Drosophila melanogaster: one gene and its partners. The protein of the gene in region 1 interacts with the protein of each later gene in a pairwise test. Each region holds a gene or a part of one and is shown on either strand. Other genes may lie near its edges.

What was found.
Region 2: the proteins of Traf-like (region 1) and sowah interact in a two-hybrid assay, tested with the Drosophila melanogaster proteins (2 studies listed by BioGRID).
Region 3: the proteins of Traf-like (region 1) and nopo interact in a two-hybrid assay, tested with the Drosophila melanogaster proteins (2 studies listed by BioGRID).

The regions. Positions count from the first base shown.
Region 1 is NC_004354.4:16,411,148-16,419,020, reverse strand, and holds Traf-like (TNF-receptor-associated factor-like), read right to left. Parts: upstream 3,976-7,873; 5' UTR 3,598-3,975; coding exon 3,436-3,597; coding exon of another isoform or gene 3,365-3,435; coding exon 2,936-3,364; intron 2,867-2,935; coding exon 2,458-2,866; intron 2,403-2,457; coding exon 2,287-2,402; intron 2,227-2,286; coding exon 1,918-2,226; 3' UTR 1,436-1,917; downstream 1-1,435. Other genes in the region: AnxB11 (annexin B11), read left to right, coding at 1-353, 432-661, 731-940, 997-1,065, 1,126-1,191; CG4301 (uncharacterized protein), read right to left, coding at 4,721-4,934, 5,001-5,327, 5,392-6,205, 6,289-6,785, 6,850-7,598, 7,665-7,873.
Region 2 is NT_037436.4:12,568,240-12,575,977, forward strand, and holds the start of sowah (sosondowah), read right to left. Parts: upstream 4,304-7,738; 5' UTR 4,200-4,303; coding exon 4,073-4,199; intron 3,962-4,072; coding exon 3,300-3,961; intron 1-3,299.
Region 3 is NT_033778.4:18,177,961-18,184,971, forward strand, and holds nopo (no poles), read left to right. Parts: upstream 1-2,656; 5' UTR 2,657-2,761; coding exon 2,762-2,877; intron 2,878-2,936; coding exon 2,937-3,152; intron 3,153-3,210; coding exon 3,211-3,564; intron 3,565-3,624; coding exon 3,625-3,682; intron 3,683-3,737; coding exon 3,738-3,857; intron 3,858-3,913; coding exon 3,914-4,117; intron 4,118-4,179; coding exon 4,180-4,419; 3' UTR 4,420-4,559; downstream 4,560-7,011. Other genes in the region: CG5726 (uncharacterized protein), read right to left, coding at 1-573, 1,511-1,872; CG5721 (uncharacterized protein), read right to left, coding at 4,581-5,858, 5,914-6,030; CG33958 (uncharacterized protein), read right to left, coding at 6,826-6,981.

The DNA of each region.
Region 1 (7,873 bases):
CTTCGATGCCGTCAAGGATGCTCACGACTTGCGCAAGGCCATGAAGGGCTTTGGAACAGATGAGGACGCTCTGATTAACATCATCTGTCGGCGATCCAACGAGCAGCGCCAGGAGATCCAGCGCCAGTTCAAGACGCACTTCGGCAAGGACCTCATCGAGGACATCAAGTCGGAGACGAGCGGCAACTTTGAGAAACTCCTCGTCGGCCTGCTGCGTCCCATCGTGGACTACTACTGCGCCGAGCTAAACGATGCCATGGCTGGCCTGGGCACCGACGAGGAGGTCCTCATCGAGATCCTCTGCACGCTGTCCAACATGGAGATCAATACGATCAAAAACCAGTACTTACGATGTAGGTCGTAATCTATTTGGCTTAGCCTTTTCTCTTTGTTCTAATATGGATTTTGTTTCTGCCAATCGTGTATATTAGTGTACGGCGCCCATTTGGAGTCTGAACTAAAGTCGGAGACGTCGGGCAACTTTAAGCGGCTGCTTACCTCCTTGTGCACGGCGGCGCGGGATGAGAGTGGTCGCGTGGATCCCGTGGCGGCCAAGAACGATGCTAGGGAGCTACTGAAAGCCGGCGAACTGCGCGTCGGCACCGATGAGAGCATGTTCAACATGATCCTCTGCCAGAGGAACTATCAGCAATTGAAACTGGTATGCTGCTTGATACTTGAGTACTTGTGTGTACAATTGAAACTCCAACATAATCATACCTAACCGCAGATATTCCAAGAGTACGAGGGCATGACTGGCCACTCGCTGGAGAAGGCGATCAAGAAGGAGTTCTCCGGCGATGTGATGGAGGGCCTGATTGCCATCTACAGGTGCGTCACCAACAAGGCCGAATACTTCGCTTCGCGCCTGCACAAGGCGATGGCCGGAATTGGCACCAATGACACCCAGTTGATCCGTGTGATCATCACGCGCAGCGAGGTAAGTACATCTATATATAATATCATTCAACCCTAAAATGTTGCAACGTTTTTCAGATTGATATGACGGACATTAAGGTAGCGTTCGAACGTCTGTACGGCAAGTCCCTCAAGAGCTGGATCAAGGTAAGATATATATATCTATCTATATCTATATTCTATAATCATATAAAATCCTACTTGCAGGGCGATACTTCGGGCCACTACAAGCACGCCCTTTATGCCCTGGTGGGTGAACAGCGCTCCTCTTAAGAATCTCCGCATATACATATATATGTATTATTCAAACCAAATCCGACGTGAAATCAATTATTCGAATATGTATTATCTCTTCTATGTATTCGTTCATTTAAATGCATACAACATACAAGAACACGCCAACGAAGCCAGACAATTATGATCCACAACGTAGACTATAAGTGCACACAAATAATACCTGAACGGGATCAGACATTTGATACCTCTTTCAAAGAAATGAACATGGGAACCGACAGTTGACAAGTGTTGAAGTTGTATTTTATTAAAAGACCTTTGTATTTAAATGCGTTCGTAAAGACAAATAATATGGAAGTTCCTCTCAAAAATCGCTTGTTAATTTGCTCGAAATGAAAAACCAAAAAATGAAAGAGTTGCTTATATCTTGACAAAGTGACCAGGGAAATGTTGCAATAAAAGCTATGCTTTCTAACTACCGACTTCGTCTCGACAGTGCCTCAATGTGACTATTGCCTAATTTGAAAAAAAGCATTTAAAACTGCAATGACATTTAAAACTACAATATACGCATATTGAAACGATGAATCGATTCGTATGCACTTATACACTATATATGTACACATACTCGTGTTTGTAAGCGGGTTTTTAACTTCCAGTTCGCTCTCAATGGAATAAATTATGTTTTATGTATGTGACAATCCGCAATTGGATTTTTTTTTTCTTATCGCTCCTGGTGGGTGGGATAGCGATGCTGCATGGGTTTTATTTTAGAACTCGAACCTCGATGAACATGGAATCGTTGCGAAGATAGTTGCGACTGGTGATTACCTTGTGTGGTATATGGAAGTACTGGTTGCTTTGGATAAAATCATCGCTCTTCTTGCGCACAAAGATGGTCTTCACATAATCCTCGGCATCTGCCACATTCGTGCACTGATCCCGGATGATGATCTCGGCCTGAAGGCGGCATGGCCAGGCCAGAAGGGGATCGTACTCTCCGGATAGAACGTTCAAGCAGGCGATCATGTTCCTGCCCTTCCAGGTGCCCTTGCCATTCAAGTATATATCCAGCTAGTAATGGGGTATACATATATAAATGGCATATCCAACCAAGATCCAACCTCAACTCACCCGTAGAGCATAGCCAAAGGCTTTATTGGAGAACATGGCGCTATGGAGGATGGTGTCGTACTGCTTGGACTCTTCCAGTTTTTTCGAGTAATCCTTGATGCGCCAAATCAAGTGTCCTGTACGACCAGATATTATATATTTAAATTACTATATTGAACCAACAATATGTACCCCTTATATTCTGGACACTGGCAATCCGCTGCTGCATGGCCATTTGGGTCTCCAAATCCGATATATTCTGCATGGTCTGGTGAAGTGCTCGATCCAATTTATCGCAACGTTCCTCCGTTTCGCACACAATGTTCTTCACATTCTTCACCTCATAGTCCAATGTGGCCTGCTTTGACGTCACATAGTCACTGTTGCCCAGCTTTGTTTTGATGTCCTCATTGATCTGCTGCAGAAACTCCTCGATCTGAAAGAACTTCTCCCTGTTGAGCCGCTCGTTCTCAAAGATCAGCTCCTCCAGCTTTAGGATATTGTCGTTTAGCTGATTCTGGTGATAGGTCACGTCCGCCGAGAGCTGATTGACCAGCTTTTGGGCCTCATCCAGCCTGGACTCCACTTGCTCTTTCAAGGACTTCGACGGAGATATGCACATTAAAGATAGATAGTATATATATATTTAAATAAAGTAGCATTAACTAACCTGTGTGATATCACAGCAGTACTGGACATCCAGCTGGTTCTGTTCGATGGCGAATGCCTTCCGATTGGTTTCCTCCTCCATCTGGCGACGCAGATCGTCCATTGCCTTCTCGGTTTCGCGGGTCCAGTCCTCGACGACCTGGTTCTGCTTCCGTATGTTGCCCACATCGGTAATGAGATGCAAACGCTGTCGTATCTCCTCGTTGAGAACGGACCGAATGGTGCCCACGTCCTGTTCAATGACCAGGAGACGCTGATCCGACTGCCTATCCAGGCGATCCATGCTGACACTCATGCGTTGCTGATTGCTCAGATTGTGCTGGTTGCGTGGACACTCCTTCAGATGGGATCGCATACGGATGCGTGGAATGAAGGCCTGACAGCCGTTGGGACACTCCTCCAGCACCTGGCCGCAGTGGATCAGGTGTTCCTGCAGTCGCATCCAAAGAGGAGTAATGTAATAGTAATCAAAGGTGAACTGAAAAGTTGGACGATTATAACCGTGAATGTCTGGGCATCGAACCATTCGTTGCAGAAGAGGCACGACGACTTCTCATACTTGACTATGGTCGTCGATTTGGGCTGATTCTGATTCTCATTCTGATTCTGATACTGATTCTGCTCGGTTAGATCCTTTCTCGACGACGACTTGGTCAGTGACATTATATTGATTAAAGGAAAGCAAATTCGATTGAAACTTTGGATCAGCAAATTCTCTGGCGCTGCGAGCACCGCCCTATGCACACTAAACTCAGCCAAAAATGATTAAGAATTTCCTTGGGCATAGTCATACGCGGCGCACACAGACATGGTTTAGATATAGCTTTGCACATGTGTTAGCATTAGGGCGTCCATGGGAATCTATACGACAACCTCGAACTGATAGCACTGCCATTTGGTGCGATTACCACTATTTCGAAATGCGAGAGCAACCAACGAATCGTATTGACCACTAACTTGGCGAACTACGACCAGGAAAACACAGCCACCGAGAATCCACTAAAATCGTAACCGTCACCAGATCTTCCAGCGACTATATGGCCACATATGTACCTGCAAAATGTTCATATCTCTAGCTCCCCTTGTACAAACATATTCGGAATGCGAGTGGAGATAACATTATCAATGAAAAACGGGCTTCACAATCAAAACTTTGTCCATTGCCTCGGCAATGCAAATGGTAACGACGCCATCAACTAGATAACAATGTGGTGGGCGGCAGTGATCGTGGGCGTGGCAGTGGGTATGGCCGAACCAACAGGTGCCCTACGTACACATATGTGGATCGGGATTGAAGTACATTTACTGACTCGCCGCCCTACTTTATGGTATCAAAAGTGGGGCAACGGCTAAACTGTGATAAAAACGGGCTATATACTTTCGTATATATTTTTAAACAATATCCGATGTAGGAAAAATATTAAATAAATCCTTTATTAATTAGATGTTTGTATCGTGTAGCTGTATTGAAACCCAGCATTTTCGTAAACGAACCATTTTTCCAAGTGTAGTTGCACTTGCTCTCAATAAGTCGCCGAGATTATGATAAAAATGTTATCAGCCTAAAATGTCGTACTTCCCAGTTGATTGCGAGTGTTAGCATACGATTTCAAGGTTCTCCATTTGGGAAGTTGAGATACTTTCCTACCTCTAAGGTGGTGGTCAGAAATCAAATCTATTGTTCAAACGTTTAACAAAAATTTGTTTATCTAACAAAAAAAAAAAAAATTGTATACATGAGGAAATAAATAAATTAGGGGTATAAAAACTATAGCCTAATCGACGATTACAAGTATGTGGACTCAAACTTCTCGCGCATCTTAAGTTTCCGTTGTTTTCCGGGAAAAATGCTGAAACTCTTTATGTTGAGCGCCCTCTGGAGCATTCGGATGGTATAGTCGGGTACCAGGCAGGCCACACAGGTCACTATGATCCACAGCCAGACTGGCAGTGAGGCCAACAGATTGTTGTAGGCCCAGTAGATGTCGGTGTCGTAGTCCCTGCAAATAATACATATACATATTAGTTTAAACCTTAAATGGATACATTCGTAGCCATGAACTCACAGATTGATAACGTTGTAGATAACCGTTGTGACTACAAAGCCCAAAATGGAAATGATAATGGTGAATATATACCAAAAGGACAGATACATTGACTCGAGCCAGAGCTTAAGGTTCACGACCACCACCACCGTCCACATGAGGAGGGTGCCGAAGCAGGAGAAGGCCACCGTCTGTCCGTAGTTCAGGAGAACGTTGTTGTAGTAGAAGAAGCAGAAGGCGAAGTAGAATATGATGACACTGTGGTAGATCGCAAATAGGACCCACATCAGGAAGTACGGCCAGTGGAGCTGCTTGTTGTCCGTGTTCTTCTTGTAAAGCTGTGGCGTTCTGTTCAAGTTGCATTTTTAGTAACATCAACATTATACATATAAACGATTGAACCCACTGTTACCTCATCAACTTCTCCTCGGTGTATGGCTTCTCGGAGATAGCTATGAACAAAATGGGCAGCGAGGTGTATATCACATTGTACAAGGTAAGGAATAGCGAATCGTAGACGGAGGATGAGGAGAACAGCGTGTGAAACTGGAACAGGAACATGATGCCCATAAAGACGATGTTCTTGTAGAAGAAGTACAGCACCAGCAGGGACAGTCGGACACTGTGATAGTGTCCATGGACGAGAAGCAATCTCTTGAGCATGCAAAACTTGGCGAAGGCAAAATCGGCGCATCGTGCCGCCTGCCTGCCCTCGCGTCCCATGATGCCGATGCCCACGTGAGCCTCCTGGATCATCGACACATCATTGGCGCCATCGCCAATGGAGGCCGTGTTGTAGTTCTCATTGGATGACTTGATCAATGACACCACTTCGCTTTTCTGCAGCGGACTAAGGCGGCAGCACAGAACGGCCGTACACTTGACAGCCACATCCCGGAACTCCGAGCTGGCCTCTGCCAGGGCCACGCCCAAGCTCTTGCCGTCAATGAGAAGAGCGCACTCCTGGCCAATACCGAAGATGATCTCACGATCAAGTGCGTTCAGATGCAGGAGCATCTCCTCTCTATTCTTGCACTCCATAATGAAGTACTTCTTGGCATCGGGTGGAATGTGTCCGCAGGACAGGGCTATATTCAGGGCTGTCTCCACCTTATCGCCCGTTAGCACCCAGATTTTAATGCCAGCCGCCTGCAGAGATACCAACGTATCGGCCACGTCGTCCTGCAGGGCATCCTCCACAGCTGTTGCACCGAGCAAATCAAGATCTGTGCAAAGAACAGAAATGCATAAGTTGTTGGCGCCCAACGTGGGGCACCATGGACTTATGTGGAATGTCACTAGTACTCACTGCTTTCAATTTTAGCATAACACTCCTCGCTGAGCTGCTTTCGATTCTCAAGTGAGCTGTTCGCCTGTGCCAGCTCCACAAGGAAGTCCTGGTACTCCTCCTCGCTAATTAGCCTCCTGGCAATAGCCAATGTACGTAATCCTAGTCGTGCGAAATCACTTATATGAGCGTCCGTCTTTGTGACCAGCTCGGCTGAACTGTTGGCGCACAGTGGAAAGACATAGCTCTCGGCACCCTTTGTGTAGATCCACTTCTTGCCATCCGTATCCCGGACAATCACGCTCATGCGCTTGCGATCCGACGTAAACTCCAGGACATGGAGGCGCTGGAAGGTCTCTTCCCTGGGCTTGGCGAACGGTCGCTTGTAGTCCATGTGGGGCGGGACGATGCGCACGCGCAGCGTTTCGTCATCGTCTCCGGTGTAGACCATGCCCAAATTGGCGCACGCCTCCACCAATGCCTTCTCATCCGGACTGGAGGCCTGATAGTCCAAGGTGCTGTTGAAAGAGATGTGAAATTGAGATGCTTCTTCAAATTTTGGATTTTCTTGAATCCGCTTACAATATAAAGTCCCGGATTTCGTTCTTTCGGCGCTGTGATTCAGCCCGCACCAGAATGGTGGGCTGTCGGGTGAAGGTGGGCGCGGCATAGGATTCCCGAGAAGTGGTGCTCGGCGATCGAAAGAGCACACCTGCGGGCGGGGTGCTGGCCGTAACCGGATTTGTGAGGTAGGCATTGGGCGCGCCATATGAGTGCGCCCTTCGGTGACCCGGCGCCTGACCACTGGGCGCTTCCCAGGACTGTTGCAGATCCTTCTCTGAGGTAGACCGTCTGAATTGCAGCGAAATGGGTCGAAAGTTTGTTGTGGGCTCCACTCCGTTCGTGACCGTATTAGGGTCAGTCTGATTGATATTCAGATCGCTGGCGGCACCATTGTTCATCCGATTGGAGCGCGCAAAGTTGGGACTCCTCTTGATAACCACCGGACGCTTGCGACGCTCCACGCCATAGCCGTCGTCGGAAACCAATAAGGGATTAACATCGGACGAAATGATCGTTGAGTTGACCCCATTGGGATGAGCCGACACCGAGTTATCAATGGTGTGGCCCACATTTAGCTCGCTCTGCTGACTAGCATTGTGGCTCTCCTCGGTGATGTCCGAAATGGAGTACATCTCCGGCGGACCCGACTTAATCGCCGTCACTGGCTCCCGTTTGGCAGTGCCCGCATCCGCCTGTTCCAGAGATCCGGAGGCCACCTGAACGGTGTGGCATATGGACAAGGCCTGGAAGAAGACGCGCTGATTGGCCTGCAAGGACAAACGACAGACAGATTTGGGAACGCCACTTAAGCTATAGCGATGGAAAAGACTCACGGAAAACTTATTGATGTCCAGTAGTGCCTTGGTCTCCTCATCCTCCAGCCGCGTCTTTTTAAAGAGGAACTTGTTACCATTTATCGAGCACTGCTGGAAGTTCATCTCGTTCTTGGTCAGCGTGCCCGTCTTATCCGAGAACAGTATATTGATCTGGCCCAGTTCTTCGTTCAGATTGGATGTGTTGACCACGCACGGCTGATCGGTCT
Region 2 (7,738 bases), on another chromosome or scaffold:
GACTTTTGGGCAGGAACTTTGCTTTGGGGCCATATTTGCGCTGCCAGGGGTTTTAAATTAGATTCACAAAACAACGGACTGAGTTTTCATTAGTTTTTGTTTGATAGTTGAAAGCTTTAGCATCTTAATTACTATTTTATGAAAGATACTTTCCCTTAGGTGATTGTTTGATTTGTTAAAAATTGTAATATTCGCTTTTTTCAACTCTTGCCAGACAAACCGAGGCAATCTTAAGTTAAAAATATATTTTGGCAATTCTTTGAATTTCCAACATCGCTACTTCAGTTAACATCGTGTTGTTAACTTTTACTTTTAGATATGAAGGTTTAGCTGGAATTCATGATAACTTTGCTCTTGAACCGAAAAATTTATGTAGTTTCCCGTTAACCTTCGAAAATTTCATCAATCAAAAAGAAAAAAAAAAATCCCAAGCTATGATACTTCTATCAATATTAGTTATTTAACGAAAAAAAAATCCCATTTTAAATCAGCTTGTTATTTTGGGGCGTAAATTAATCAACTCACAACGGTGCTGAGTGAGCGTACAAAATGCAAAATCATCGGGCTAATTAAAAACGATCGAAACGAATTTAATTGATCAGCTAGCTGGGGATGGATACAGATTCCATAGTTACGGTTGCAACGCCAAAAATTTCACGGTACACCATGATGAATCCACTTCACTTGCTCCCCAGTTTTTTTTTCGATCCCATGAATCCCATGAACTAGAATGCCGCCTTCGAAACTCCTTGTGAAGATGATGAGCCACTTTCTTTTCGTCTAGCGATGATTAGTTATTTTCTCTGATGAATAACAGGAAAAAAAAGGGGCATCCATCAAAACCTATCTCAATATTGTTTACAACTGAATTTTAATAATTGCGTGAAGACGGTTGGCGCCATCAAAAATGACGGTGTGTCTTGTTAGCGAATCAATTTGTTAACAAGATGTAAGCGCTTATAACGCCACAGATACTTTCTTTATTCTCAGTGCATCAAATGGGAGCTATCAACCCGATCTGTACGATATGATAGTGAATGATAGCCCTTCGTTTTAAACTCTACTCATGTTGCAGACAAATTAGTAATGACTGGCGAAAAGATGAGCGAAATTCAAGTGAATTCATTCATTCAAATGAATGAATATAATTTCGATGATAAGTAATAGTAAATTCATTCAACGAAATTTAGACAACGCTGGTTATTTTAATGTTTAAGCCTTGTTAGCGAGAATTTCCCCATAGCCTCCATTTAATTTCGACTTTATATTGATATTTTTAATTTGTCTGCGTAAATCCGGAAACATGAAATACGTGAGAAATTCAAAGTTGCGGCAGTGATGCTTTGAAACAGATTTCCGATATAAGGACTAGTTTGATTCTACCATGTCCGAGTGTCTGTACAAATAGGCACTTAAGTTCGCTTCCCGATGTTTTAGTGGGATTTTATAGCATCTGACGTGCCGTTGACAATCCCACTTTGATGTACATCCACTGCTGCGGAGCATCTTGCTCTAAACATGATACAATAGATTGGAATGGAATGGGATACGGATGCGGATGGGACCATCCGTCTCGCAGACAGACTCCGATGATTTATGCACTGGGGATATTCGTTTTCAACTCTAAATTGCGTGATTGACGGGCCTAAGTGGATGACAGTTGTTTGACAACTCGGCCCAATTGCACTACTATAGCTTGTAACATTAACTAAGGAACGATTTTTCCGTAACGCTTGACAAATTCCACTGCCACATGCTCACCCCGAGATTGATATTTTTTCTAAATTAGAATCTCGAAATGGACACGCTACAAATTATATGTATGTATGTGTATTTCGAGTTGATTTTGTTGAAGTGCTAAAGGTTTCCATTTCCAATTTACATCAATTATAGTCATAGGATGTGGAAATGGTTCGGTTTTTATGAGAAACAGCTAAATTCCTCAGTTTTCAAGTTTCAATTTCAATTTAACTACTTAGATGTACTATCAAAAATTTCATCTGATTCCAGATTTTTCTGAGTGTTTGCATACCATTTGCTGGCCGCAAAATTTCTCACGTAACTCATACTTGGCATGTCCTACGATGTGCTTGTACACATAATAGGCTTTTGGGGCATCAAGAAAATAAAGAAATGAAAATGCGAGGGGTGTGAAGGGAGGGGGGTGGGTTTGCTGAACAGCTTGCAAAGTGTCGTCATGGCCAGTTGATGGAACAAAGTTACTAAACACATCGCACTCGGGCGGGAATCGAATTCGGAATCGGAGTACATGTGTCCGCACATGTACGTACACATGTCGGGCATCAGCTCGCCAGTTCTCCAGCTCACCAGCTCACCAGTTCGCCAGTTCTCCAGCTCACCAGCTCTTGAATGCGCGGCGGCGACAAAGCCGGGACAGAAAAAGTGGACAGGAAGGCGAACGGAACGATGCAGGCGCATGTATGTAGTTTTATGAGACTTACATTTATATTGTCCACTAATAAAATTAATGGATTTATTCAATTCGGCCTGTGCTGGTGGCAATTCGTGACATGGCTCTGGGAACTGACAGACAGTTGGGTGACCGACCAACCGACCGGCTTAGTTTGAGCCAGCCACTCTGCCACTCTGACATTCTGGCCATCTAGCATTCCGCCAGCAGTTCCACTTGAGGTGGCCCAAAGCCTGGGACAGCCACTGATGCATTGACAATAATTGCTCGGGGTTTCCAGGGCCAGCAGATCTAATCTGACCCTGATTTGTAGCGGAATATCAGCCTGTTTCTTTGTCATATACAGTGATGGGAAAGCAAATATTTTTTTTTTAATCCCATTATACAGTGTATATACGCTAAGAACTACTTTAAGTTGCCAGATATATATGAAATTATGAAGGTCATCCTTATCACTAAACGAAGAATTCGATGTAAATAATAGAAATCGTTCCTCTTTAGTTTAAACAAAGGCGTGAGTGAGATTATAGAACATTAACAAATATGATTCAACAAAGTTGATTACAGTGTGTAGTCTATGATGGATTGAAAAAAGCAGCTGGTTAAGTGGAACAACGTCTTCAGATATTTTTGCCACAGTGGACAGCTCATATAAAAACCTTCATAGCTCTGTGATAATTAATCACAACTAAGCCGTGCAAAAAACGTCGCATATTTGAATTGTCTTGTAGCGAATCTTCCCACTGACGCACAGGAAATGGAACGCATTGGAACAAAGCTGGGAGGGAAGGGCCCGAAAGACACCCGCACCCGAGCCGAGCCCGCATGATGGCTAATGCCCTGGCTTAACCGGTTCTGTGGCACTCACCTTCTCTGGCTTCTTCTTAGCTGGCGGCGATATGATTTTAGCCTCTTCTTCAGACGCCATCCGATTAAATTTGCGCGTGGCCTCCTTCACGCTGATGGGATTCTCGGCCACATCGCCTACGGCGGCGGGAGCTGTGGGATCAGCCATCTCCGGCTTTTCAATGGAAGTGCTGGACGCCGAGGAGGCCTCCGAGGAGAAGGAGAAACGTGGTATGTTCTCCTTGTTGTCGATCACATCGATGGAATTCGATCGAGACGTTTTCTCCGGCTTCTCCTGCTGATCCAGATCCTCGGACTTGACCGACGTTCGCCTCTCCAAGCGTGCTGGCTCAATGCGCTTTATGGCAGCCGTGAATTCGTCCACGCACTCCTGGTAATTCTCCTGGTGCTCCTTGGCAATGGAAACGGCTGGCGGAGAGGTGACCATGGGCGGCGGTTTATATGGCGGTGGCTGCCTCATGGGCGAGTCAAAGTTAAGAGATGCGCCGCCGGGACTTGAGGGCTCCGGAATACCAGATGCGGCGGCCACCGCGCGCTCCACAACCTCATCCGTGGGGCATTCGTTTACGTATTTCTTGCGCAATATCAAAAACTTCTGATTGTTCTCGTTCTTGATGGTGGACAGCAGTGTGACATAGGTCTTGAATCGCTTGCGAGCCTCATCTGCAATTAATCATTGGGAACATCCATGTGAAAACCAAGTCAATATGGGTTTTCTTGGCCATTCAACAGGTCCCAAATCCCAAATTCGAAAGACAAACACAAATGACTCACTTTGCGACTGCGGGTGAGTTAGGAATTTCTTGAAGTGCTTCACCAAGGCGTGATTTGTCACCTTGCACTCGTTTGCCAACATGTAATTACGGATCTCCGCAACGGATAACTCCTTCGGTAGCTCCATTGCACTTTAAATCTCACTTTAAAACACTTTTAAACGCGAAATAAGTAAAAAATAAACACAACAAACAAAAACATTTGACCAGGGCACTGTGCACACTGCGAATGTTGCAGCCCTCATGCTTCGCGGAAAAAAGCTCGCTGATTTCGCTAGCTGACAGAAGGCTGGTTGGCGTGTAACTCATAACATGGAATGATTTTTCGAGTTTTAATAATTTTAAAAACAATACATTAAAGCAAGGAAACAAATATATACTTTTCGCACTTCAAATTACATAATAAAAACTATTGATTAAACACTTTTACTTGATTTAGGTAAATAACAATTACTTTCGATACCGTTCAGCATGCAAATCTCATTTAATCTCACCATATATGAAGTGATTCATATAAATATATATGATAAAATAAAAATGATAAAAATAAAAAAGTTAAAAAAAGAAATTGGGACAATTTATGCCCGCGAAATACTTTTTTATTTCTTCTAAAACATTTTCAAGCCGTAGCCGTAGGTGAGTTAAAAAACACTTTTTCGAAATGAGTAATATAATTTAAACCAATGAGTTTGCTTTGGTGTGCCAAATATTATGATAAATGTTTTTAAACCAAGTACGAAAAGGTAAACGAAAGGCTCGTAATCAATGTTGAATTCCCTTCGGCATGCGAACTTGTAAATCAGACAGTGGTAGTTAATTTGCATAAAATTTAACTTCAGTTGAATCCATCTGGCTCGAAGTATCTTCCGCATGCAAAGAATTATTAAAACAGTTCCGAATTAATTCCTGAGACACAGCCAAATGTAAATTCAGGGGCGGATCGAGCGGAGTAGGTAGCCCCAATCCCCCATCGAAATCGGGGAGTTAACTATGCAGTACGTGTATGTGGGGCACAAAACGAGTTGATTTCCATCTCAATTGGCCAAAATGGTTTGGCTGGGAGGCTGGGTTCGGGTTTTGGGCCATGTATGTGTGGGCCAATTTGTTGAATCGACGTCATTTATCATCCGCAGAGCAGAGTTCTAGCCGAAAGGAAGCCACAGCCGATGACAGTGACAATGGCGCATCTGGATACACAGATTGGGATTGTATCTTTCACTTGCATTTCAAGATGCAAATGTCAAGACGTGTTGTACTCTGGATATCCTTTCCTTCCCTTTCCGAAACCCGCCCCCTCCCACCACCGTCACAGGATTCAATTCCAGAATGCCTCGATGGCGCAGATGCGCACTAATTTGTATGCCCGCACTCTTTGGATTCGTTATCCGTTGGTTAAATGGCTAAATGTATCTTTGGCAGCCTGCTCGCCTCATAAATGTGCCCAAATAAATTACCCTTATTTATCATTTTATTTGGGGTTCCATATTAAGTCGAGTTTCGCCACGAGCGAGAGTATATAACTCATGTTTGTTTAAGGTATTTGCTTGCTAATTTGCTAAAACACAATAAATGCTACTAAAAAATATTTATGCAAATAAATAAAGATTGAGGTAAAAGGGAATTCAGTTCGGAATTTATTAAAAGATTATGTATTTCTTTACTATCATTCAAATTTCGATGGATTTTTATACAATGCGAATCGAGTTCATATGAATTTATGTTAATAACGCATATTATTTAGTTAAATCATATTATCATATTATCTACAATGTTTCATATTACTCGTATTACTTTTTATTTGTATATATCTATGTTTTGTATCCATATTCAAAACTAAGATAGTAGTAATGATTTCACATAAACTATAATTAGTCCATGCTTGAAAACCCGACATTTCAATGCGATGAAGTTGCGAGTGCTCCTTGGAGGACATTAATTAACTAAAAGCTTTTCCTACTACCAGCAACTCCCAACTCAAAACTCCCAACTAAAGACATTCCAATTGGCGAACACAGGCGAGAAGTGACTACTCAATGCGATTAGAGCAATGTTCGGCATTTGCAGCCGGATTATGCAATTGTCACCGATTGCGTGGCAAAGTGGCGCCTGATAAGCGTTGCAAATGGAATTATGTGCCATATGAAGTGCGAGTAAGTATCTGTATCTGTATCTTCATCCGGAGGCACTCTTTTTCCCATCGAATGCCATTTGGGCACGACCAGAGAACGTCTCTGATCAGGATGCTAGGCAGTTTGGCATTGGTGCGGGCGAGGATTGGCAGCAGCCATCTTGTAGCTGCGCATACTGACTGGTGTATCCCTCAGATACTTTTCATCACCCCCCTCAATATCCACTTCTTGGCTTTTTTTTTTCTACTTTTTTGTACACCGGTTGGCGTCAGTGTTGAATGCAGACAGCGATCGACGGCGAACGATCCTCGATAGTTGCAACTTGCAACTTGCAGCGTTTGTCTTGTCTGGCGGATGGGGCAACTATAGGATGGAATGGTATGGGATGGCTATAAGATGGAATGGGCTGCTGCTGCGGCATAATTGGCAATTGGGAAATGGCAACGGGAGTGGGAATGGGAATGGCTGTGGATTGGAAATAGGATTGGGATTGGGGAATGGGCATAAGAATGGCACTGGGCTCGCTCGACTTTATGACTTTTTTTTTACCAACCGGCAGATACACTCGAAGGATTTAGTTTAAGTCACTGAAATTAATAGGTAAAGAAAATAGAAGCACAAATATTTTTTTAATTTCTTAAAAACTGTTAAGAGTCTAAAGAAAACGAGGTGAACTGAAATCATCCCTTCATTGACTTAGTTTTATGTGATTTTACGAGTACCTCCGTTTTTTTTTCGAGTGTGCCCACTAATGCCGACTGTCTATCTGGCCCCGTCACATCGAAGTCGTGGTCGGATTGAGTTTGTTTCTGTGTTCGTTTTAGCCAAGATTCGCTCATTTCTAACCTGCGATTGGATTGTATTTACTACCCCTGCCCGCCAGTTGAGTTGCTCCTGACCCCTGGAGAGTGGCGCCTAAAATTACACGAGGCCTCATTGGAAGCGGGGCAGCTGTCATCGCGGATTGCCCATGGATCGGAGATTTATTGGGACCGGGGAATAATCATTCGAATTGGGATTGCCACGGCTTGTTGGCTAAGTCAAATGCCGAGCAGATGTCGGCGTTTCCACGCAATCCTGGGCAGCCTTTTAAGCAGTCTGACAGTCATTATTGTGCCATTACCAAATGAGCAGTGCGCATTATAAATGAGCACATAAAACATAAACGTTGTCGCCCAGCCCAAGAGCCGATTACTGCAATTTAACACCCCCACTTGGTCATAGCCCCTCATACCCTGATGCTCTACTCTGCTGAATTTTCCGGCAACTTGCCGTGGTATCACGTCAACTTCAGATCTCGTCATATGTTGCTATTTCCGTCGGCGGGCCAGGGAATGCGCTCATATGCCATATATACCATATAGAGTGGGTTCCATTCTGATGGATGGAGGATGGCGGACTGAGGACTGTGGTCAAATGCTTTAGCTCGCACCGGGATTTTGGATGGTTTCGCTCGGCTTAGCCCGACTCCCAAGTGGGATTATGTCACTTCCCCGGTGACATTTGCATTTTGATTGACAAACTCATTTAGCGCCTGC
Region 3 (7,011 bases), on another chromosome or scaffold:
TCTTCCACCACCAAGAAGTTGGTGTACATTGTCTCCAGGTCGTGGCCGATATGCTTAAAGTGGCTGTAAAAGAGGTCCAGCACCATCAGTAGCATGGCCTTCACCTTAGCGGTCAGCGCGGGCTGCATGATCAAATGCCGGCGAACGTGGAAGAGCAGTAAATCAATCTCGACCTTATGCCGCTTGCGCATGATCTCCCCATTCAGTGTGATCTGTGACAGCACCAGGCGGGCAATCCGAGTGCCCAGCACCACCGACGTGTCATTGAGCTCGCGGGTAAGCAAGTCCAGCAGGGACTCACCCAAAATGGTGATCGGGGTATTATCCGCCAGCCTTACCCTGTGATAATATTCACCCAGCAGCGTGATCGAGTTGTACAGTCGGTTCTTGTCGTGCAACCGATATGCGTCCGCGTTGAGGAAGTTTGTCTCCAAAATCTTGAGCATGGCGCTGCGCACCTTCGTCTCTTTCATGGCCAGTGCGTCGAAATTTCTCGATGAGAAGAGCAGGGCGAACTTTAGCGCCGTATCACCATCGCTAAGCGCCTTGTCGTTCAGGTACTCCATTGACTCACTGAAAATTGCAAATACAATTAGTTTATTTACTTTTCATTTATTAGTATGTTATAATAATCAAGTCTACTACTACTTCATAATGTTAAAGTTTGCACTACAACTGTGTTTAACACCCCCACTGATATAACGCATAGCAGCATTGTTTGATAAGCCCAAGCTGCGAACTATTTGTTCAGCAATTAACTCGAGCATGAGCCTGAGAGAATCGGAGGGAAAAATGTTCACTTTGAAATGATTCGATGGCGCCGATGTCTCTCTGCCCGTCTTTATTTGTATGAAAAGTTGTAAATTTTCAAGACACGCTGACGTTCGAGCAACCTGGTCGCAAACAACGAACTCGTGCACGAACACATATACACAAATACAGTGCTTTTCAGATTTATAAATCGATTTTTAGACATTTAATAAAATTGAAATGTATATGTAGAAGGTCGCAAAAACTTTTTCGAACCTAAAAATAATGAAGTAAGAAGAAAAGTTTACAAAGTTGCACTTTAAGAACCCAAGGGTTCTTGAACGCGTAAAAACAAATTAACGTTTGAACTTGATTAGTAATTCGGTTTCTGCATTTCAAGCATTTCATTATTGGAATAACTTATAGAATGCTGTAACCTATGGGCGAACGCCACAAGCTCCCAAATTTAACGAATTACTCATGCTACTTGTAATGGAATGTCATAAATATTACAATAAGGATCGGTCTTCGCCAGGCAGATATGTACTGCATGCATTAAGTCTTGTTATCACATGGCTGGCTTTGATGGGCTTGGGAGCTCGCCTTGCCCATATGCTATCGCACCGCACTGTACCTACGCCGGGTATTTACATACATCCATATGTATATGCGAAAAGAGGTGGCAAATAAACACACTACTTATGATATGATTAATCATCAATGAGCGAACCAACCAAACGGTAGAGATCGGCACACATACCAAAGCATAGACTCGTCGCGCACTATGTTGCAGAAGTCCGTTTCGATGGTCTTGATCTTGGAGTTCAGCACAATGCCATCGTCCTGCAGATCAAGGTTCCTCATCAGGGCGATGATGTGGTCGTAGGCATAGCCACCTGTTTGATTTTGATAGGCGGCGGGGCCAGTGTTCAGGATGGTACAAACATCCCGGAGGCGCGCTCCCGTTCCCTCACCACCGCCCCCGCTACCGACACCACTGTGCGAACTGTGACCACTGTCCACCGCACTGTTGTTGTAGCTGTTGTTGCCGTAGGAGGTGGTGTTGCTGCTGCCACCGCCGCCACTGTTGCTGCTGCTGACCATGTTGTTGGCCATTTCCATTTCTCGCCGCGATCACTGCCGTTTGTTGTTGTTATCGCACGGTTGTTTGTCTGTCCCTTCCACACACACTTCAGTGTCTGTTATATTGGTACGCGCGTGTGTGTGAGTCGTCGGTCCACCAAATAAGAATCAGCGTTGACAAAGGTGTCGAAATGCGCACGCCAAATGAAACACCTTTTCGCTCAGCTTCCGCTTTGGGTGCAGGTGCAGTTAGCTCACTGGGACCCACGGTCGATTGAAACGCAAATAACGAACGAAATTAAATGCACAAATTTATAACTATTCCTATTTATTATTGCTATTTGACGACTTTTAAAAGAGGTGGAAAAACATCGATGTGTTGTGTTCTTTAAAACATCGATGTTTCTCCACCTCTAGATAGCATTGTCGCGATATCGAAAGCACACGGTGTGCTTTCGTAAATAGCGCCACAGTGCTCCCGCTGTTATCGATAAGACCACCATGGGGCTAAAGTACGGAGCATAAGTAGCTGGATTTAAGATGGATTGGCAGAATAAAATATGAAATTTATATCCACAGTATATCTTAAGAAGTAGGGTTTAAAAAGTATCCACACATACATATCTTTCTAAAATTTAGGATGAATTTTAGTTTCAGTGGCTGAGTAAGCGTATTTGTAAACATTATTTGTTGTTTCGACTTAAGCCAAGTTAGTTAGCAATTAGTTTGTCGTGGAAATATCTATCAGCTAACAGTTATTGTCTACAATCGATTCTTGACAAATACTGGTGTGGTGAATTCCGCTCATTGGAGCATCGTAAAATCGCCATCAGTCAGCTGTGTTTCGTTGGGCGCGCAAACTGTTCGGCGTGCGTTTATTTGTTGTTCTTTTGTAATAACTATTTTTATGTAGTTATTTGTGCCAAAAATGTTGAACTTAAACTGCGTGATATGCGCCGAATTGTTTGGCCAGGCCGACGAGGTTTTTGCCACAGTTTGTGGTCATATGTTCCACCACAACTGTCTAAATCAATGGCTCGATCGGTAAACAACGCATAAGGATATTTCTGATTCCCGACAATAAAATCAAATATCTTTCGCAGATCAAAGACCTGTCCTCAGTGCCGGAATAAGTGCACTACCCGCAACATATTTAGGGTCTATTTCAATCTGGCCAACTTGGATGTGAGCCACATCGATGTTGGTTCACTGCAGGAGCAGCTGGACAATGCGATGTTGTCCATGAAAATGGTCGAAAAAGAGCGCAACAAGGATGAACAGCAGATTCGGGATCTGAAGGAAACACAAAAGAAGTGCCTGTATGCTTTTGTATACACATTGCCTTAAGTACCAGACTGATGCATTTCTCATTTGCAGCAAAACCATAGCCGGTTTGGAGCAGAAGGTGCAAAAGAAGGATTTTCTCATCAGCAGCTATGTCGAGCAAATTGGCGTCCTCAAGAGTGATGCCCATGTCGTTGATGGGTTGCGCAAGGAAAACAAAACATTGAAATCACAGATCCAGAGTATGGAAGGCATATCGGCTATTCTGGCGGCTGGCTCGGCGGATGCCGACCGCTTGCTCAAGAACGAGGCTGATCCACATGTCCTAGCCAACTGGGTGTCCACTCTCAAGAGGGAGTTGCGACAATGCGAGAGCAAAAAGACGGAGCTCAGGAATGTAGTGAAGGTGGTGCAGAATGATCTGCGAAAGGAGATCGAACTAAAGCGGTATGCTCACAACATTCCAAACGTGGTTTTTATAATTGATATGTGCTCATTCGATTGCAGCAAGCTGGAAGAGCGTGTTTCACACCTGGAGAGCGACCTTTACCAGGCGCAGGAGAAGGTTTGCTGAGCCTTCTTTAACACAATTTCGATTAAACATACTATTATCTTTTCAGCTACAAGCTTTTGAGAACAAGACCGCTTACTTGGACTCACCAAATGCCTCTTGTGGTCTGAACAGCAACATTTTGGCCCTTAAAAGGGAGGAAAGGCGTACCACTATTTCCCCTACAGTTGTGAGTAGACACGAATAAACGAAAATATAAGCTACTAATATTTTGCTGCCCTACAGAAGGAGAATATTAAGCGCATCGAAGAATCCACCTCCCCATATCTCAACATTAAATCCAGCAGCGTCGGGTTGGCGCATCTTCTTAATACTAAGGGTAACATTGGGCTGGCCAAGTCTAAAATATCGCCCATCAAGGGAGTCGGTGGCGGTGTGTCTATGACCAGCGGAACCATACGGAAAACCAGCAGTGATCTCAGTGAAAAGGTAAACGCAATAATTTTGCCGAATTCCACTTAACCATTTAAAAATTCCGTATATTCCCCCAGTATTCAATCTTCAAGAAGCCAAGACTGCTGCTGGGAAGTTCAAGTAGTTCTGCGTTGACGGCCACGACGGGCTCAAATTTTGTCTACAATGGAATGGGCGGTTCTGAGAAGGTTGACCCCTTTGCGCAGCGCGCCGAGGAAGAGGGTCTTTCCACAATCAGATCCTCGACCGCCCTTTCCCGGAATGTCAACCAGCGTCTTAAAGCCGGCTCGCTGCGCAACTTTAACCTGGGCAAATAAGTCCACAGCCATGTGATCATAAGAGACTGCCCCAGTTGGGTATTAGCACGCGATTGGTATTGAGGATTGCCGATTTTGTTAGTTAGCCAATGCATGAATTAAGCAATAGTAATAATTTAGCAGTAAATATATAAAAATACAAAAGGCATATGTGTGTGCGATTAGGCGGCAATTTTTTTCTCCGCCGTGCCCGTCCATTCCTCGCGCAAGTGGACACTACAGCCGAGGTCGCGCAACGCCGCCTTGATGTCCTGCTCCACACTGGGGTGCTCCTTCATTGCCATATTTAGTAGATCCTCAACGCCGAAGGAGATCCAGGTTTCACACTGGTTCCGCGACCGTGACACCATATTGCGGATGGCCCACGCTCCGTTTCGCTGGACTATCTTGTGTTTGGGATGGGCGCGAAGAGCCTCCACGATTACTTCGGCGATGCCGGTATCGAAAAAGGCGGCACTGTGTTCCTGCACTCGGAGTGTCAGAGTAGTCACGCAGGCCAAAGCGGCGGCAACGATGTTTTCATTGGACTGGTGCGTCTCTAGCAATTGCTTTATTATAGGAGCCACGCCCTGCTGTACTATATGTGACTTCACGGAGTCTTGGCCAGCCAGGGCACGTAGCAACTTTAAGGCCTCTCTATTTAGACGCACCTCATCCAAATTCGAACTCATGATCTCGAAGACGGACTTCAGTCCACCAGCCTCGTCGATAGCTGTACAGAGTTCCTGACGCACAGCCAGTGTTCCAATGGTCAGCAGAAGATCAGCCAGAACATTAGGATCCTGATAGGCCGGCAAAAGTTCCACCAAGGTGATGAGCACCTCGCCTGCTATTTGGCGGGCGTGCTCGTGGGCGCATCCAAACTCAACGCGAATGTCATCATCCAGCACTAGGAAGCGGAAGACGGCGGTCAGTTCACGCACCAGGCGGTCCTTCCCTTTCCCTAAAAGGGGCTTCATGAGTTTGAGTGCGGAGGTATTCATGATATTCTGGCGGTTCATTTCATGCATGATGCAGGCCTTCTGCAGCCATTGAAGAGTCAACAGGGTGACTTCTTCACTCTCCACTTTGAGGGCCAGTAACTTGAGAACCACGGCCATCGCCTCGGCATCAAACAGATCCGGCTGCTTGTGGGTCAGGCTGTTGATGGCTTCCAAGGACTTTTTTAACACGGATTCGTTGGGTGACTCAGCAGAGAGCGTCTCCTCCAACAGGGTGATCAGGGCATCGTGGGCTCCATTTTTGCCGGCTAGAACCCTATGGGCTAGCGACTTTTTGCACTCAGCATCCAAGGTGGCCAGCTGTTCCAGCAGCTCCGTTGTTTCCTCCAGTTTTTGGCCAATGTGCTCCTTGATCTTGTCCACCGTTTCGTTGATGACAGGTTGGCCGGTTTGCGGATTGACGGACAGGTCCTTGATAATGTTGGCCAGGTTGATGCCCTGCAATCATTTCATTAAAGTGAATCTACTGGATGACTATGTCGACATTACTTACCTGTGCCTCGAATTGCTTGATGGTCTCTTCTTTCGCCTCCGAAGGAGTCATCGAGAACTCCACAACGTTCTCCTTCACAACATCGTCGAAGGTGTCCTGCGATATAACCTTGGCCATGGCAGTGATTCGTCCAATTTTGGCTATGCCCTCAGCAGCTGCAGCTTTAACTTTTCAAATTTTACTTTGTTCTCTCTGTAACTTCCCACACACACACACACGCCCACACGCAGGCACACAGGCACAGTTCGAATTTAGTGGCTGCGGTCACACTATCGCACTTCGCAGGGCGGTCATACTTCCAGCTGATTTACATTCGATACATATCGTTGTACGGTTTAATAAAACTCACCATTGAACACTCAAAAAAATTGTTGTATTAATACTAACACCGAATTTGATAAAAAATAAATTATAACCTTATTTTATAACTAAAGAAGTGAAAGAAAAGATTTTAGGTTTCTTTATATATGTCCCATCACTGTGGTTGGAAAACGAATGGTAACAATGTATTTCTCGCATATTTTTTATTAACATAAGTCTGTATTTTGGCCGCATGCTTGTGATTTGCACTGTGTATTACATGTAAAAAGACGATTGGCCATTGAAGCGTTTAAAGTTGTTGTACACGATGCATCAGTTGCACTTCCACTTTTTTTCAAGGAAGTGATTTAATTATTATATTTTGAAGCGAATTTAAAATTAAGACGAATTTTATGTTGTATATTTTATCTACACTTGGTGCACCGTGTAACTTCAACTTTTTGATAGAAAGGAAAGATACTTAGATATTTAAATAGAGAGATTGAGAGAGCGGGACACTAATGCATGCACATCCAAAAGAAAAGCACCTCGAATTTATGGCCAGGATAAGCATTATTTGGCCTAGCCGGAAAACTTGCAGTTGGTTGCATCTCATTTCCGCTTTGGCAGCTTGTAGTCGGTTGGCGGATGCAGCTTCAGGTGGTCAAGAAACACGGGCTGTATGTCCGCCCGCCACGAGATCTCCTCGCGAGCCCTAACCGGTCCGTCCTTGCAGGTCAGCCAGTAGGTGCTCATTAGACCCTTACCCTGAAAATGAAACAGTTTGCAGGTTCACCC